Caenorhabditis elegans: one gene and its partners. The protein of the gene in region 1 purifies or fractionates together with the protein of each later gene. This does not show direct contact. Each region holds a gene or a part of one and is shown in the gene's direction. Other genes may lie near its edges.

Region 1 (4,103 bases):
CCCCGTTCTACCGCGTCTCATCTTTATATCTTCGTGAAGTTGGAGACTTCGCTGGATATTATCGCGAAGCTCTTCGTTATCTTGGAGTTGAGGACGCCAATAATCTGACAACAGAACAGAAGCAAGTCCATGCGGTTCTTCTCGGTTTCGCTGCTCTTCTGGGAGAAAACGTGCACAACTTCGGAGAATTGGTTTGTTGAAACTCTCAATTTAAATTCCCCCAATAAACGGTTTTTTCAGCTTGCTCACCCCATCCTCAAATCGCTCGAAGGAACTCGTGAACGCTGGATCGTGGACGTGCTTCTTGCCTTCAATTCGGGAGATTTGACGCGCTTCTTCTCGCTCGAAGGAGATTGGGGAGGCTGGGACGATTTGAAGAAGCAAAAGGATTTCCTGACTGCCAAAATCCGTCTGATGGCTGTCATGGAACTTGCAGTCTCTCGTCCAACCAAAGCCAGAAGCGTTTCATTCAAAGAAATCGCCACGAAGTGCCAGATCCCATTCGACGAAGTTGAGTTCTTGGTGATGAAGGCGTTGAGCAAGGATCTCATTCGTGGAGATATCAATCAAGTTGAGCAAGTTGTCTACGTGACATGGGTGCAGCCAAGAGTTTTAGATAATCCTCAGGTATAAGAATTGATTATAAGTTTTTAAAATACTTATTTTCTTTTTTTCAGATAATGCAAATGGCGACTCGCATTTCCGCATGGAGGAACGATGTCAACTCCATGGAAGGAATCGTCAGCAAAGAGGCACGCGAGATTCTCACTCAAAATTAAATCATCTCATTTCTTTAATTTATTTTCTCCATGCTCCCCCATCCCAATCCCGGAATCCTCTATTTTTATAATTACACTGCTACGTGTATTCTACAATTTCAAGATCGTTCAGTCTTCTTTCTGTGTGTATTTATTTGAATTCATAAATTAATCGACTGTGAATATATTGAATTTTCTCGATGTCAGATGTGACTAACACCGTGTCAATAGTTCACTAGTACTTTTCAATACTTAACATTCGGGTTCTCTTCGTCTTCGAGTAATGTAGTACTGTGATTGTTCCAGCCATGGTTGATCTTTCAAAAAACGACGGAGGCAGTGGAAAAGCCGGAAAAGGTGTGAGTGATGCCATCGATACAGTCCTCTACTACGTTGTTGATCTGAAAAAGCAGCAGCCGATGGTCCAGCTGGGTGTTGGTGCTGGATTCGGGACAGTGACTGGATATTTTGTCACCAAGGTATTTAAAATTGGTGGTTCTAGAGAAATATTTAATTTTTAAATATTTTCAGGGAGGACGTCTTGTTGCTGCCACAGTGGGAATCTCTTTCCTGTTGGCTCAATTCGCTATTCACAAAGGATACATCACGCTGAACGAATCAAAAATCGAACGAGACATGAAAAATCTACACAAGTCCGTCATGAACAAGTAAGCTTGAATTTTACGAAAAAAAAATAGAATAAAACGAAAATCGTATATTATTCAATTTTTCAGAGTATCCGGCAAGAAAGTTATCAACATTTCCGATTCATTTGTCTCCGAATACCGGTGGATTCTTGGCGGATTCGCAGCTGGGATGCTGATTGGATTTAGCGTCGCCTAAATGTGGAAAATTGTGAAGCTTCAGTTGGTTTTTATCTACGATCTGTACTATTTATAATCGAGTTGCTCGATATGATGCATAAATAACTTTTTCTCACTCTCCATTGTCTAGTCATGCTGTCTATTTTTTTCTTCACATTGACTGATAAATTATACACCCTTACCTTCTCATCTTTTAATTCTTGCAAAACTTATGGTTTATTCCATAACTTTTCTCTTTTTGAACTCGATTTTGTGCTGAAAATTTTTTGAAACGTAAGTTTGCAACGACACTCCGTAGTTACGCGGCCCGTATGACGCGTAGTTTATTTTTAAGGCCTTTTTTCTCTAGTTTCATCATTTCCGTGCGCCACCTGCCTATTTAACCGTCATTTCCCCAACTATAGTTTAGTTTTCAGATAAAATTACATCATGGGCTCTTCACAATCGACGCCAAAGGTGAGTTTTCTATAATTTCAGTTAAAAGAAAACACGTATGAATTTATTTTCAGGTGCAAGATGCCAACGCCGATGCTGAGAGAATTCGTAAGGCTCAACACAGCATGGCTGCTGCTGGAGGAGGATCTCAATGCCCATTAACACCTGAACAGAGAGCTGCTGCATCTGGAGAGAATTGTGGAGCTGGTGGCGCTTGCCCGGTTGGTGCTGACAAGGCTTCTATCAATCCACTCAACAATGTGAGTTCAAAATAGAGTTTTCTGAAGCCAACTTTGAAAATTCAGGAGCTCGAACATCCAAATCAAAAGCCAGCCCCAGATCAGCCATTCGCACTTCCAACGAAACGAGAGAAGTCTACAATCCCGAAAGCTGGAACAGAAACTGAAACCTGGACCTATCCAAGTCCCCAAATGTTCTGGAACGCCATGCTGAAGTGAGTTTTTGATTGATAAATGTTTATTGTTGATTTTAAATTTGAATTTCAGAAAAGGATGGAGATGGCAAGATGACTCGCTGAGCAAAAGCGACATGGAAAACATTATCAGCATCCATAACGCTAACAACGAGGAGGCATGGAGAGAGGTGTTGAAATGGGAGAATCTTCTTCATCCGTAAGCTCATGAAAATTCCAACATCTGAATAATTTATAATTTCAGGGAATGCGCAGAGCCGAAACTGAAAAGCTTCAAAGGAGATGCCAAGAACCTATCGCCAAGAGCTCGTTTCCGCAACTTGTTCCTCGGATACGATCTCCCATTCGATCGTCACGATTGGATTGTTGATAGATGCGGAACCAAGCAAGTTCAGTACGTCATTGACTACTACGATGGTGGTGCTGTGGATCCAAGCTCAAAGCTTTTCACTATTCTTGATGTTCGACCGGCCGTGAATGATATTGGAAACATCTGGGATCGAATGGTTGTTGCTTATTGGAGATTCAAATTCGAGACACTTGGATTCACACCGAGCCTGCCGATTCCACCAACTGAAGGACACAATGTCAACCATTAATAAGTATCGCATTATCATCAAAATTATTTCCAATAATTTACCCACCGCTCCATAAGCCTAATAACAGTTTCGCAATTAGCATATTTCGTAGATAGATTAGTGTTCTTTTTTTCCCCCTCGTTATCATTGTTTGCTGTTAATTGTCTTTTTTCTCCGCATGGAGCCCCGTTTGCTCATGATCTTTCAGTGTCTTCCGTCAACTACCCGTTACTTTACTGTGTTCCACCGAAATACCGTTTTTCCTTCTTTTCTTATCGATTCTCCCAATGAAAAATGGTCTGGTTATTCGGAAAGTTTGAAATTTATAGAAAAGCGGAAGAATAATCACCCTAGAGATCTTTAGATATCACAACAACAGACAGTTGTCAGGTTCCAAAAATTTAGAAGCCATGTGGCTGCTAGCCAGCAAACAGCTGACCAAGTTCTCCCAACTTCCAAGAGTTTCTCTGTTGAGCCAAGGAATCCAGAATGTGAGGCAAGGATTCCGAAGAAACTTTGGAATATCGGTGAAAGATGTCGACGACAAATCCAGAAAACGCATCGGATGGTGGCTTATGGGATGTGCTGGAATGTGCTACGGTGCTGTGGCGCTTGGAGGAGTCACCAGGTGCTTATTAATGTATTTTTTCAACTAAATATAAAATTTCAGATTAACCGAATCAGGACTGAGCATGGTGAACTGGGATCTGTTCAGAACGATGAAACCGCCATTCGGACAGAAGCAATGGGAAGAGGAATTTGAGAAATATAAAGCTTATCCAGAATATAAATAGTAAGATAAAAAAGACACCAAATTTTGCGCCAAAACTACGGTACCAGGTCTCACCGCGACAATTTTCGTTAAATGAGAAACGGCGTGCGTCTTTGAAGAGTACTGTAATTTCAAAATTACGGTGCTGTGAAATTTTCGTTGATTTTTCATAAATAGTTTTTTGATTAAATCATTTGCAAACTATGAAAAATCAATAAAAATTCCGTCGCAACGAAAGTTTCAAATTACAGTTCTCTTTAAAGGTGCACACCTTTTCTCATGAAACAAAAATTGTCGTGTCGA
Region 2 (4,514 bases), on another chromosome or scaffold:
TGTGTGTGAAAAGCTAGTTTTTTTAAACATTTTTCAGGGAAAAATAATAATATTTTCGCTTTTTTAAAAACTTTTTTCAAAAAATCGGCAGAAACTTTCTTTTCGAATGAAATAGTTTTATTTTCTAAAAATAGAGAAATTTCAGAAAATTCTTGGAAAAATGATTTTTATCCTCTCGAAAAATAGGGAAACAGAATTTTTCGATTTTCAGAAAAATGAGCTCTAGCACAGCCCCGTGTAGATTTACGCAGCGTGTGTACTCCGCGAGTAGTAGGATTTTATGGTTTTTTTGGCAAAATATCCCTTATTTCGGGCATTTTTTAATGTTCAAATACTAAAAATAAGGATAAATTAGCATTTTTAACGTTGAAAACGAAACATTTTAACAAAAATGGCTCAAAATCAAGAATTTCTGCCAAAAACTACAAAATCTTCTCCTCGGGGAGTACACGAGCCGCGTAAATCATCGACAGTTAGTGTGAAAAGCTAGTTTTTTTCGCTTTTGAGGTATTTTTCGGGCCATATTCTCTTTTTCCAATCAATTTTCACCTTGAACTTGTGGGAATCGAGCCAAATTGCACTCGCAGACTTCCAGAATTGCCGTTGGATATTTCTGAAATTTAAAAAAAATCGATTTTTGGGTGATTTCTAGCGGGAAAAATCGATTTTTTCACAAAAAAATCCCAATTTTAAAGCGTACTTCGTGCTTAAACTCTTCTTCCTTAATACAACACTGAAGACAATCGGTGAGCAGCGTTTCCAGATGATAATCCGATAGTCGTTCGCATAATCCGCACTGAAAATTTACGAAAATTTCAGATTTTTGCCAAGATTTTCAGGAGAAAAACCTTTAAAGTCTCCGGATTGAATCCCGCCGCCTTGCACTCCTCTACATCAATTTTATACTCTTCAACTTCACCGAACATAGGCGAAACCACGGCGGCCAGCAGCAGGAAAATCACCCACATTTTGCTGGAAATTTTTATTTTTTTTTGTTTTGTTTTGGAATAGCAAAAAATCCATGAAAAATGAGTGAAAATCCCCATTAAAATACGTGGAAAATGCTCCAAAATTGGCTCAAATCGACGTCAGCAGTGCAAACACCGCCGGGTACCGCCACACCATATTTGACGACAGTTTTGGGCAAAGTTTGGAGGGAACCCATTCACGGGAGGGAAAATAGGGGAAAAGTACAAGTTTATATAGCTAAAAATCCATATTTTTCGGGGGGAAAATTGGGTAAAAAGCACGAAAATGTCGGAAACTATCGATTTTTCGATTTCTGCGATGAAAATACGGTACTGGGTCTCGACTCGACAGGATTTTTTTTCATTCTAAAAGGTGTGCGCCTTTAAAGAGTACTGTCATTTTAAATATTCGGGGTTTTAATCGATTTTTAATAGTTTTTCGATAAAAATGTATTTGACAACAAATTACAGTACTCTTTAAAGGCGCACACACATGTTTTCCATTTAACAAAAATTTGTCGTGTCGAGACCTGGTACCGTATTTCTGGCGCAAAAACCGAACAACTTCAGAGAGGACAAATTGAATGCATGTTTTAATTTAAATCTAGAAAATTAATTTTCAACAAAAATTGAATAATTATTCCGTGAAATTGCCATTTTGAACTTCGAATTGAACTTAGAATTCAAATTTTTCAAAAAAAAAAAACCGACAACCTGTGAGAAAATAAATTTATTGTTATTTTCTTCTCGGCTAGCGGAAAGACGGCGAGGATAAAATCTGATTTCTTGGAAAAGTCAAAACCGATTCACATAAAGGTAACTTTTTTGCTTCTTTTCTAGGTGGCCTAGGAAAAGCGAAAACTCGGCCAGCGTATGTTTCCGGGAATTTGCCGAAAATTCTCATCAAAAGCCTTTTTCGCAGAATTTTAAAGTTTTTTATAGCTGAGAGAAAGTTTTGATATCTTGAAATTTCTTGATTTAATTTTTTTTCTCCCCAGACACCGATAAGTCTAGGTCTAAGCCCCCCCCCCCTCAGCCTAACCTTAGGCCTGAACCTAAGCCTAAGCATAAAGCCTAAGCCTAAAGTCTAAAGCCTAATCCTAAGCCAAAGTCGAAGCCTAAGCCAGAATCTAAGCCTAAGCCTGTACCTAAGCCTAAGCCTAAAGTTAAGCCTGCCTAACCATAAGCAAAAGCTCGAGGCTAAGCCTAAGCATGAATCTATGTCTAAGCCTAAGGCCACGCATAAGCCTAAGCCTAAAAATCAGCAAAATGTGCTCCCATAGCAATTCTACGGGCCTCCACAACAATTCTGAGCCATAAATTTCCAGATTCAAAAATGGAAGCACACCGCGCCGAGCAACCACAGTGCACGAAATCGGGTAAAGTAATTCTAAAGCCTGGATATGATATGACAGACGGACTGAGTGAGATTGATGACTGGGCTCCGGAAAAGAAAAAACGGGCGAAAAAAGTGCCCTCTAAGCCACGTGAAGGGCCCAAGTTGATCGACGAATTTGAGGAAAAGGAATCGGAGAAAGAGGCGGCGGAAAAGGAGAAGGAAAAAGAGAAGGAAAAAGAGAAAACCCATGAGAAAAACGAGGCGGATAAGGAGGAAAAAGAGGCAGAAAAGGAAGAGGAAAAGGAGGAAAAACCACCGAAGGAAGTCACTGAGGAGAAGGAAAAAGAGAAGGAAAGAGAGAAGACTAAGACGAAGGATGAACTCGAAGAGGTCTGATTTATTGATTTTTATATGGAAAAATCAAATGAAAATCGATAATTGCAAAGCTGCCACATGGTGTAAGGTTGTCCCATCACCGCTCGATCTACAATAAATCCGGGAAATTTCGCCCAGAAAAGTGTGACGTCAGAGGGAAACCTTGCGGCTCGCTTCCCGCATTTTTTGTAGATCACGCGGTCAGCTCGACACCACGTGAGCTGTTCGGATTTTTTCTCTCAGTGCACGTGGCGTCAGAGTGTATCATTTCGGCTTGATCTACGTATATCTACAAAAAAAGCGGGAGAAGAGACGCAGAGTTCTCAACTTTGTTGTTGTTGTTGTGCAACAACGCGGCGCTAGCGCCGTTCTAGACGCCCGCCGTATGTGCTCCACCGCCCGGATCGAAGGGTTTATAGGCCAGCCCGAGGGCACGGGCGGCTTCTTTGGGGGACGTCCACAGATTTTCTTTCAGGATCGGCTTCGATCTACTGCAGGTTAGGTAGTGTGATCTAGGCCACCCTCATCATCTCCACAGCTACATGTCCCGACTGGAGTTCGTCACATAATTTGGGCAAAAAATTTCCGCATTTTTGGTAGATCAAACGTGGCACCACGTGTGTATCGACGAATGGCCGTGAAAAAGGATTTAAGGATATTTCCCGTAGATTTTTTGGATTTATCGATTTTTTTTTCGTAGAAAAATCGATAATTTTGCGTAATTTTTCACAAGAAAATGTATCGTTGTGGATCGATATTGAAAATTGCTACAGAAAATCGATAAAATTTCACTCACTACTCCTTTTTCCAGGCGCCAAGGGAGAAGGAAACGATGGAAAAGAAGCAAAAATCAAAGGACGAAGACGAAGGGGACCTATCGAAGGAGGAAATTTTGAAAATTAAGAAAGCGTTGAAAAAGGAGAAAAAGCTGAGGGATCGAGAGCGATTGAAAACGGAGAAAATCGATAAATCGACGGAAACGAAGAACTCGACGACTCCCAGCACGGAAAAGGAGAAAAGTTCGATGAAAAAGACGAAAAAGGAGGCTGCCGTGGCCACCGGCACCTCCGGCAGCGCCAAGAAAAAGGGTAAATTATCGATTTTTCAGAATAAAAATCAATTATTGATTTTTCAGTGAGACCACCGGCCCCCCCTCCGCCGCCGACAAAGCGAAAGCCTAAAGATATACGGGCGAAGAAGAAGGTGTGCTGCACGATTTTGTGAACTTTTTCCCTTTATTAAAATGAATAATTCGCTTTGATTTATTGATTTTTCATAAACTATTTGGCTTTAAAAATAAAAATTTCGGAAAAAAACGATGTTCCGATATTCTGTCGAATTTTTTATTTTTTATAGCGAACAGTTAACAAAAAAAACGCTTAAAAATAAGCGATTCGGTTGGAAAAGTTTCAAATTTCGCTACAAAATTAAAATTTCACGCGCGTAATTCGTAAAAATCATCGAAACAGCCGATCATTTTTAGATTTTTTTTAATGAATAACCGCTATTTTTAATGTTTTTTCACTACAAAACTGATGAAACCGCGGAAAAACCGAAATTTCAATCAAAAAAAATTAATTCTAAACAAAAATTTAAATTTTTAAAATTCAAAACACAAACGACACTCCGATATTCCGCTTGCGCGCCCTGTTTAGCGGACTGTTTTTTACATTTTTTTTTTAAGTTTTCGATCGAAAAATACGGGAAATCAGAAAATAAAGCAATTTTATCGTTCAAAAAGCTAAAAAAATCCAATAAAAATCGATTATTTCTTCTCGGGCACGACGGATCGATATAATCGCTTGAAAATCGATACTTTCGGCTGTAGACCC
Region 3 (5,095 bases), on another chromosome or scaffold:
ATAAGAAATAAGTTTTGATTGAATTAATATGTAGAAAAAAAAAGTTTGCGAAGGCACGGAAACTCCTTGGCCTGCATAAATTTCTGTTATAGCATCCCAGGCAAATTTAATGTTCACCTATTATAACCCAAGACTATTGTAGCTTCATCATGGCATCGAGACTAATAACAACTTCTTCACAATGCTGCAAAACATAAACCAAAGTTTGTGATTCACTATTGGACTTTTGGAATATTTGACTTTATAAAATAAAAAACGAGACACAAAAATATTGTTTCACAAACCATTCATCAAACTTCAAAAAAAAAAGTTTCAATCCGTAGAGACTCACTCAAACATTCACTTTCAATGACAATAGCCAACTGCCGTGCTAATAATTGAACAAACTGACAGTATACTTCATTTCACGCTTGTTTCAAGCGAATGTTCAGCTTGGCTTATAGCAGTTTTTTCAGAGACCCGAGCTTTTATAAAATTCCGGTGGACTCATAAAATATGGTCACAAAACCAAAAAACGAAAAGCATCATTCATCCATACCAAATGATTTATGTGGTAATCAAAGCTTAAAATGAAATTCTTATGATTTCTGATTCTTTGATTCTAAAGCTTGAAAAATGTGATTCTAAAGCTTGAAAACAAGCTTGAAATATAATTTTGTTTGCCATGAGATTTTTGGATAAAAGACGATTTTTTTGCAATTATCGTTCACAAAATTGTTCTTTACAACTATCCCGAATGAAACTACTGAAAATTAAACATTATATGATTATTGTGGAATATTATTTTGAACTAAATTATCAGCTTTGATTATTTGAAATTGAAATTCCGGCAAGGAAGTAATCGTACTTTTATAAAAATTTTCATAGCCCATAAGTTCACATTTTCCCGTCCAAAAACAATTGTCTCTATAAATATGTTCATTGAACCTCTTTTTCCTAAATTTCCGCATTTTCCCACTATTTCTCTCAATTCTCCCAATTATGTTGTTGTTTGTGAGTGTCACCATAGGCCGTTCTACGGAGAGTTTTGTTTGTATGTCTCGGTTCTCTTCATCTCTCGGTTTTCAAGAAAAGGGATTTTCCATTTTAACGTTTTTGCACTTTTTTTTAAAGCTAGTGATACCGATTTTTAAAAAAAACAATTAAGACGTATCATTTTCAAACTTAAAGGTTAAACTTTCAAACGACAAATTTTGATTTTTGAGCGTTTCGTTCCAATATGAAGGATCATGTTTCCTTCAACTGATCGTTTCGACGTTTTTTCTTCTCCAGTTTTTCTTGTTTACTTCGTTTAACCTTGATGATCTTCTAGTGGTTTATTGTCGAGATTTTCATTCAAAATTTACTAATTTCAATAAGATTTAAATCTAAAGTTTAGAGTCTTTGATGTATAAATTGGACATACTGAAAATTAAACGTTTTGGAAAATTTTCCGTAAGTACAGAAACATAGTTTCAAATAAAAAATTCGAAAACATTTCTAACCATTACGATTAATCAGAAAAAAAAAATAATTCAGAAAATAACGCTTCGTTTACAAAAACCTTCCACGCAAACAAATATTGTTTACCAAAAACTGATAACGTGGATGTTTTGAAATATGTTGTTGTTTTCCCACATCTTCGTTGATTTTTCTCTTTGAAGCTCTGGTATTTCAAGACTTAAAAGCATTTTTTGGCTTTCACCTTGACTTTCTTTTACCCTAGTTTAATAAGTATACAAGGTGTGAACTAAAAATTGTAACGATCACAAAGTTTCTTTTTCTCTGTGGTCAACTATCCTAGATACATGCCAGTGTCAGGCATTTGTCAGCATTTCCATTTGCCGCCTAGCAAATAGACCCAGCCTTTCGTGTGCTTCTCTTTTCCTTTTTCTTGTTCCTACAACTCAAAGTGCTCCAATTGGTCTCTGTAGCCCCATTTTTATATTTTTGTTATTTTTTGTACGAAGAATTTGCCCGAAACCTCTAGGACAAAGTTTGAAAACTGTACGTTTTTTCAATTAAACTTTCATCTATAGACTCTTATTGATAACAAAAATTGATGACTGATGACTACGTTTATTTATCATTCTTTTCCTTGATTTTCTGAAAAAAAAACGAATTTACACGTACATTTCTTTAATATTCCAGTATAATAACAATGGCTCTCGCCAATTGGCTAACCCCTGTTGAGCCGGAATGTGACAATGATGATTCTCCGGCAGTGGAGGAAATTCTCGGTAGAATCGAAGATGTACCGCCAGGAACGTAAGTAATTTCAACTTTTTAAAAACAGTTCTCTAAAGTTTTAAAAAGAAAATTTAAAAAATAACATTGTCTTTTTCCAGTAAGAAAATGTTCGAAGTTCGTGATCGTAAAGTTTTGGTGATTAACGACGAGGGTCGAATTTACGCTATTAATGGATTGTGTTCTCATTACAATTTCTCATTGGAGAATGGAACATATGCAAAAGGAAGAATTAGGTGCCCACTTCATGGAGCTTGCTTTAATGTTCGATCGGGAGATATTGAAGACTATCCAGGCTTTGACAGTCTTCATTCTTATGTGGTAAGTGGCACCCAAAAATTTATTGTTTTCGCATTTTTGGACAAATTCTTTTTTGAAAAGTTGGAGGTGACTGATTAAACTTTGTTGTCCTTTTTTTGTAATCAAACAATTATATTTTTCCAGGTTACTGTCAACGATGGAAACCTTATTATCAAGACAACTGAAAAGAAGCTAGGTTCTGATCGTCGAATTCGACATCTTCCAAAAATGAAGCAGTGTAATGATCGACCAGTTGTGATTATCGGTGGTGGTGTAGCTACAGCTACATTCATTGAGCATTCTCGACTTAATGGTCTTATAACCCCAATTTTAGTAATCTCAGAAGAGTCTTTGCCGCCTTATGATAGAGTCTTGCTGTCTAAGGTAATGTTAAATCTTTTTTTCTAAATTACCTATGATTTTCAGAAACCAGCAGCAACCGGAGAGGATATTCGTTTGAGAAAAGATGATGCGTTTTACGAAGAGAGAAATGTCAAATTTCTTTTGAAAACATCGGTGATTGCAGTAAATCATAAAAGTAGAGAAGTCAGTTTATCGAACGGAGAAACTGTTGTTTATTCAAAACTAATTATTGCTACTGGAGGAAATGTTAGAAAGTTGCAAGTACCCGGATCAGATTTGAAAGTGAGAGTAAAACGAAAATCTGAAAAATATAAACATGTGCAATTTCCAGAATATTTGCTACCTTCGTAAAGTAGAAGAAGCCAACATAATTTCCAACCTTCATCCTGGGAAGCACGTCGTCTGTGTAGGCTCATCATTTATCGGAATGGAAGTGGCATCCGCTCTGGCAGAAAAAGCTGCGTCAGTTACAGTTATTTCCAATACTCCGGAGCCTCTTCCAGTTTTTGGATCAGATATTGGTAAAGGAATCCGTCTGAAGTTTGAAGAAAAAGGAGTAAAGTTCGAGCTGGCTGCAAATGTGGTTGCTCTTCGTGGAAACGATCAAGGAGAAGTCTCAAAAGTTATTTTAGAGAATGGAAAAGAGCTTGATGTAGATCTTCTTGTTTGTGGAATTGGTGTTACCCCAGCCACTAAGTTTTTGGAAGGATCTGGTATCAAATTGGACAATAGAGGATTCATTGAAGTTGATGAAAAGTTTAGAGTGGGTTTAGTTTATTTTATGATGCTTTTTTAATCTCTAATACTTCAGACTAATATCAGCTACATCTTCGCAATGGGTGATGTTGTCACAGCTCCTCTCCCACTTTGGGATATTGACAGTATCAATATTCAACACTTCCAAACTGCTCAAGCACATGGTAAACCAGAAGATATTCAAATTTAACTATCGATGTTTAATATTTTAGGACAACATCTTGGATACACTATTGTTGGAAAACCTCAACCTGGACCTATTGTTCCATACTTTTGGACTCTGTTTTTCTTTGCGTTTGGTTTGAAGTTCTCAGGATGCAATCAAGGATCCACAAAGGAATACACTAATGGAGATCCTGAAACTGGAACTTTCATTCGATACTTCTTGAAGTAAGTGAACAATTATACATTTTTCATGTTAGTAAAAACTTTAAGAAAAGACAAAGTCGTAGCTGTAGCTGCTGGTGGTCCATCCAGTGTTGCCTCCCAGTTCGCTGAAATTTTCAAAAAAGGAATCGAAGTCACTCTGAAGGATTTGAAAAAGTTAGTTTTAATTTAAACATTAATGCAATTACCCAAATAAACTTGCAGCAGCAGCGATCACACTTGGGGACATCTTCTGCTATAGACGAGTGTAGGAATTCAGCAGTAAATAAATAAACTATTTGTTTGATTAAAAAAAATTTTTTTTGTGTTTTTTATGGAATGAACTAAAAACTGATTTATATGTATTCGCTGTTCCCAAAAATCCGATTTCTGAAAAAAAAAACCATTGGCTCTTCCTTTAATAAAAACTGAGAAATATTAGAAATATAACAATGCACCTGATTGTTTCACAAAAAACCACAGAACCAGTCAAAACTCTGAAAATGTATAAACTCAATTGAGATGCTCTTCTGTAGAGACTGATCTTCAGTAACCATAAAATGAACGTTTTCAACAAGGAAGTTCATAAAACGAGTGTAATTTTCACATGCAATAAATAACTACACTACAACTCTTTAGTTTGATTTGTGAAAATGCCAAAACTCACAAATCATGAGCAGTGTCACGTCTCAAATCCCAGACAGCAAACTGTGATAAGACTTGTAACTTAATCCACTCATTTGACTTGCATTTGACTCAACCCGGATACCAACCTTCTTACCCGGCTTATTCTCTCATTTCACTTCTTCATTTCTTGGCCCGGTGGTGATAAAACATTGGTTTTGATTGCGACGAGAGGCACTCACTCTTCCGTTTATCACTAACTCTTTGCTCATCCGGAGACCCTTGCTAATAGAGATAAACTTGTCGTTCTGTGTCTTGATATCATCCAACTCGTACCTTCTTCACCTTCTTTCTTTTTCATCTCTCTCACTCTTGGTCTATCACCTACATTTCACTCCACTGGATATACCGCCACCGTTTGTCACATGTGTCGACGAGTCCTCCTCTTTGTCATCGGGTC
Region 4 (3,391 bases), on another chromosome or scaffold:
TGGTACAGGCTTTGGATCTAACTTCTGATACTGTAGAATCTTGACTGAAGAGCGTGGCATGGTGAGTCCACTTTTTTAACAACTCTGCCTGTGAAACCTACCAGCAGTTAGATCCAAAATATGTTCAAAAGTCTATACTAAGTTTGCCCAAGGCTAAAGCTGGGCCGCTCCTTGTACAGAAAACAAGCAATAAAAATTTTATTAATGAATTTTCTTACGTTCTTCCTCTTCTTCGCATGCCCTACCAAAGAAGTGCTCTGGACAGTCGCAATAAGCAGAATTTTCAACGGCAATACAAGTTCCTCCATTTTTGCAAGGATTCGTTTGGCACGGTGATGTTTTCTCACAGAACTTTCCAAGAAAACCAGCTTCACATTCACATTTATATTCGGTGTCGCTTGTTGGCTGAAAACTATTTTTTGAGTAACAGTGCTTACTTGTCTTCATTTGTGTTACCTTGCATTTCCCAGCATTAACACAATTGTGGTTCTGGCAAACGTTACTTGCTGACTTAACACATCCTTCCTCTCCAATTCCGTCACCAACATATCCATCTGGACAGTAGCAAGTGTAGTCTCCAACAGCACTGTATCCGTCGTCAGTTACCTTGCATGTTGCTAATTTATGGCATTTGTTTTTGACACAACTATCATCTTTCACACAATTTCCTCCATCGCCGGAGTATCCAGTCGGACACGAATCACAATAATAACTGCCAAGAGTGTTATGACATTTTGAAAGCGGAGAGCATACACGAATTTCACCTTCACATTCGTTGACATCAATACAAACATTTCCATCGGCTGAATTTATTTTACTTTTTGGATTTCAATGACAGATATTCAGTACATTTTTCGACACCTTCAAACTAACAAATTCTGATTTTTCACATTGTTAAGCCGAAGTTTATAAGACTTTCTCTCCTCATTCTCGGAACTGAGAAATCCAAACAAGTATTTTCACAAAAAAAGCTTGAAATTTGTAAGTGTTATACAGGGTAGGCACTTGTTCAGGCGTACGTGTCTACCTCATGCCTACCACACACCTATTGACCTATTTAAATGCCTACTTACCTATTTTATGAAAACGTTTTGGATACGAGTATATATTTTCTAGACAAGAATTAAACCAAAAAAATTATTTTATTTTTGATTTGATTGAACATATATAATTCTAACTTACTTTTATATCCTTTTGGACATCCGGAACACACAAACGATCCAGGCAAATTAATACAATCAACTCCTGGATGACATGGATTTGATTCGCATTCATTGACATCAACACACGTTGGATTGTTCTTATCACTTGAAACCTTGAAACCCCAATCACAAATACACTTGTACGTAGTTGTATCGGAAGATGACTGACCAGTTGGATCCACAATACTCTCAATACAATGCCCATGTGGACCACACAATTCAAAAGTTTTCGAGCAAGCGGACATATGATACTGACAAAGAGATCCATGATATCCGGATTGGCACTGACATTCAAATCCGCCACGGTTATTGATACATGTTCCATTGTTCTGACATCCAGCAGTTGTACCATTGTATACTGAGCATTCATCGATGTCAGCTTCACAAGTTGTACCGGTGAAATGTGGAGGACAAAGACAAGTGAATTTGGCGCCAAAAGATGGGATACATGTGCCTCCATTACTACATTTGTTCGGATCGCACGCGTTTATTGCTATCAATTTGTTGATTCCTCTTGAAAGTTAACAATTTATAAAAAATAGTCAAACCTAACTTGTTGTGTCTTACATGATTTGACGTGTCATTTTCACCAATAATCCCCGTCTCCTCATGTCTCTGGCCATTTTATCAGTTTTCCACTTCTTCAAGATATTCACTTCGAGTGTCATATTTCGAAGCTAAAAATTGATTTCAAAAAGAGAAAAAAATGTATGGAATTACCGCTACTAGATAATGTTTTGCAGAATTTAAAACCACTCTCATTGCAGAAGTCTGCGTGTCCTGGCGACTTTTCAAAGTGGTGAACATTTGAGAAGTGTTCTCAATACGTCCAACAAGTTGCTTGAAAGATGCCTGAAAATTATTTTGAATATTGAAAATTGTAATTCGAGTTAATTTTCAAAAACTTCCATAGTTCAAACATTTTCAAACAATTATTCATTTTGAAAAGTTTTATAAAAATAATAGAACTTAATTATCAAAATTTACGTGACCGTTTCTCAGGAAAGTGATTCTTTTTAAATAGTTGTCAAAAAGTAAATTTTTGCGTGATCTCCGACTATCTAATTCCAACTCTTACTCGTAATCCACGTTTCGTTCCTTTTTCTAATCTGACCGTCTATGTTTTAATCAGTTCTTGAAACATGGGCAAGAAGAAGTCTGATACGGCATCCGGTGGAGCTATTCCAGAAGGAGACAATGAGAAAGGAAAGAAGGTTAGTTAAATTTTTCATTATAGTGTTCCCAGAAAACCTATTGATTTTCAGATCTTCAAACAACGTTGCGAGCAATGTCACGTTGTCAACTCATTGCAAACAAAGACTGGACCAACATTGAACGGAGTGATTGGAAGACAATCCGGACAAGTTGCTGGATTTGACTACTCGGCTGCCAACAAGAATAAAGGAGTTGTATGGGACAGACAAACACTTTTCGACTATTTGGCTGATCCGAAAAAGTACATCCCCGGAACTAAGGTAGGATTTTCTAGGAAGTGCGATGGAGTATTAATAAGAAATTTTCAGATGGTCTTCGCTGGTTTGAAGAAAGCTGACGAACGAGCTGATCTCATCAAATTTATTGAAGTGGAAGCTGCCAAGAAACCATCGGCATAAGCCTCTACTAAATAAGAAATCTGTGTGTTAAGCAAAGCAACGTATCAAAAATAAATGTTTTGTAGAAGCTCGTTCATTTTTTTTTTGGATAATTTCAGCAGTCTACCTACAATATCTGGAAGTTTGGAAACATCTGTTTCGTCCACATATATTCTTCCATTTCCAGTCGTTTTGAACGTTATATTTTTATCCTTTCCGGCATGCAACCACACATTTCCATCAACCATTAGAATACGTGATCTGAAATGTTTTCGGACGTAATTTTGAAAAAAAATTAAAGGATTCGTTACCTTGTTTCATATGAATCTTCGATGTGTATTTCTTCATAGTCAATTGAAGATACATGATTTAATAAGCCGAATAGTATTAATGAAAGAAATAACTGTAAGTTAGGTATCATTTGTTGCGAAAATGAAATGAAATTAATGGAGTTGCACGGTGGAGGGTGAATAATTTGTTTATGTCATTGATACCTGATTGGAAATTGAGACGATCCATTTGTTTATAACAGATTATGTAAGAGAACACCTGCCAATGTTTAGGTTATGAGTAACTAGTGGGCCGTTGAATTTGTGT

Evidence for each region.
Region 2: the proteins of cchl-1 (region 1) and Y76B12C.4 fractionate together in Caenorhabditis elegans (co-fractionation; one large-scale study listed by BioGRID). This does not show direct contact.
Region 3: the proteins of cchl-1 (region 1) and F20D6.11 fractionate together in Caenorhabditis elegans (co-fractionation; one large-scale study listed by BioGRID). This does not show direct contact.
Region 4: the proteins of cchl-1 (region 1) and cyc-2.2 fractionate together in Caenorhabditis elegans (co-fractionation; one large-scale study listed by BioGRID). This does not show direct contact.

The regions. Positions count from the first base shown.
Region 1 is NC_003280.10:11,234,283-11,238,385, reverse strand, and holds cchl-1 (putative holocytochrome-c-type synthase), read left to right. Parts: upstream 1-1,998; 5' UTR 1,999-2,011; coding exon 2,012-2,038; intron 2,039-2,091; coding exon 2,092-2,277; intron 2,278-2,322; coding exon 2,323-2,471; intron 2,472-2,523; coding exon 2,524-2,649; intron 2,650-2,694; coding exon 2,695-3,049; 3' UTR 3,050-3,334; downstream 3,335-4,103. Other genes in the region: rpn-9 (26S proteasome non-ATPase regulatory subunit 13), read left to right, coding at 1-191, 241-627, 678-779; FUN14 domain-containing protein fndc-1, read left to right, coding at 1,067-1,237, 1,290-1,426, 1,493-1,601; cox-15 (EOG090X04TT), read left to right, coding at 3,439-3,656, 3,699-3,821. UniProt on the Caenorhabditis elegans protein: Probable lyase that catalyzes the covalent linking of the heme group to the cytochrome C apoprotein to produce the mature functional cytochrome.
Region 2 is NC_003282.8:1,970,162-1,974,675, reverse strand, and holds Y76B12C.4 (Translation initiation factor IF-2), read left to right. Parts: upstream 1-2,304; coding exon 2,305-2,697; intron 2,698-3,493; coding exon 3,494-3,770; intron 3,771-3,817; coding exon 3,818-3,906; 3' UTR 3,907-3,995; downstream 3,996-4,514. Other genes in the region: Y76B12C.3 (Selenoprotein F), read right to left, coding at 550-613, 701-796, 849-968; Y48A5A.3 (Ubiquinol-cytochrome-c reductase complex assembly factor 2), read right to left, coding at 4,448-4,514.
Region 3 is NC_003283.11:8,196,130-8,201,224, reverse strand, and holds F20D6.11 (Rieske domain-containing protein), read left to right. Parts: upstream 1-2,130; 5' UTR 2,131-2,140; coding exon 2,141-2,247; intron 2,248-2,327; coding exon 2,328-2,547; intron 2,548-2,670; coding exon 2,671-2,910; intron 2,911-2,952; coding exon 2,953-3,171; intron 3,172-3,220; coding exon 3,221-3,652; intron 3,653-3,700; coding exon 3,701-3,809; intron 3,810-3,857; coding exon 3,858-4,035; intron 4,036-4,080; coding exon 4,081-4,188; intron 4,189-4,236; coding exon 4,237-4,273; 3' UTR 4,274-4,451; downstream 4,452-5,095.
Region 4 is NC_003283.11:12,611,171-12,614,561, reverse strand, and holds cyc-2.2 (putative cytochrome c 2.2), read left to right. Parts: upstream 1-2,343; 5' UTR 2,344-2,344; coding exon 2,345-2,416; intron 2,417-2,467; coding exon 2,468-2,677; intron 2,678-2,725; coding exon 2,726-2,815; 3' UTR 2,816-2,880; downstream 2,881-3,391. Other genes in the region: cubn-1 (Cubilin homolog), read right to left, coding at 219-405, 457-803, 1,183-1,715, 1,770-1,879, 1,923-2,054, 2,926-3,055, 3,106-3,215. UniProt on the Caenorhabditis elegans protein: Electron carrier protein. The oxidized form of the cytochrome c heme group can accept an electron from the heme group of the cytochrome c1 subunit of cytochrome reductase.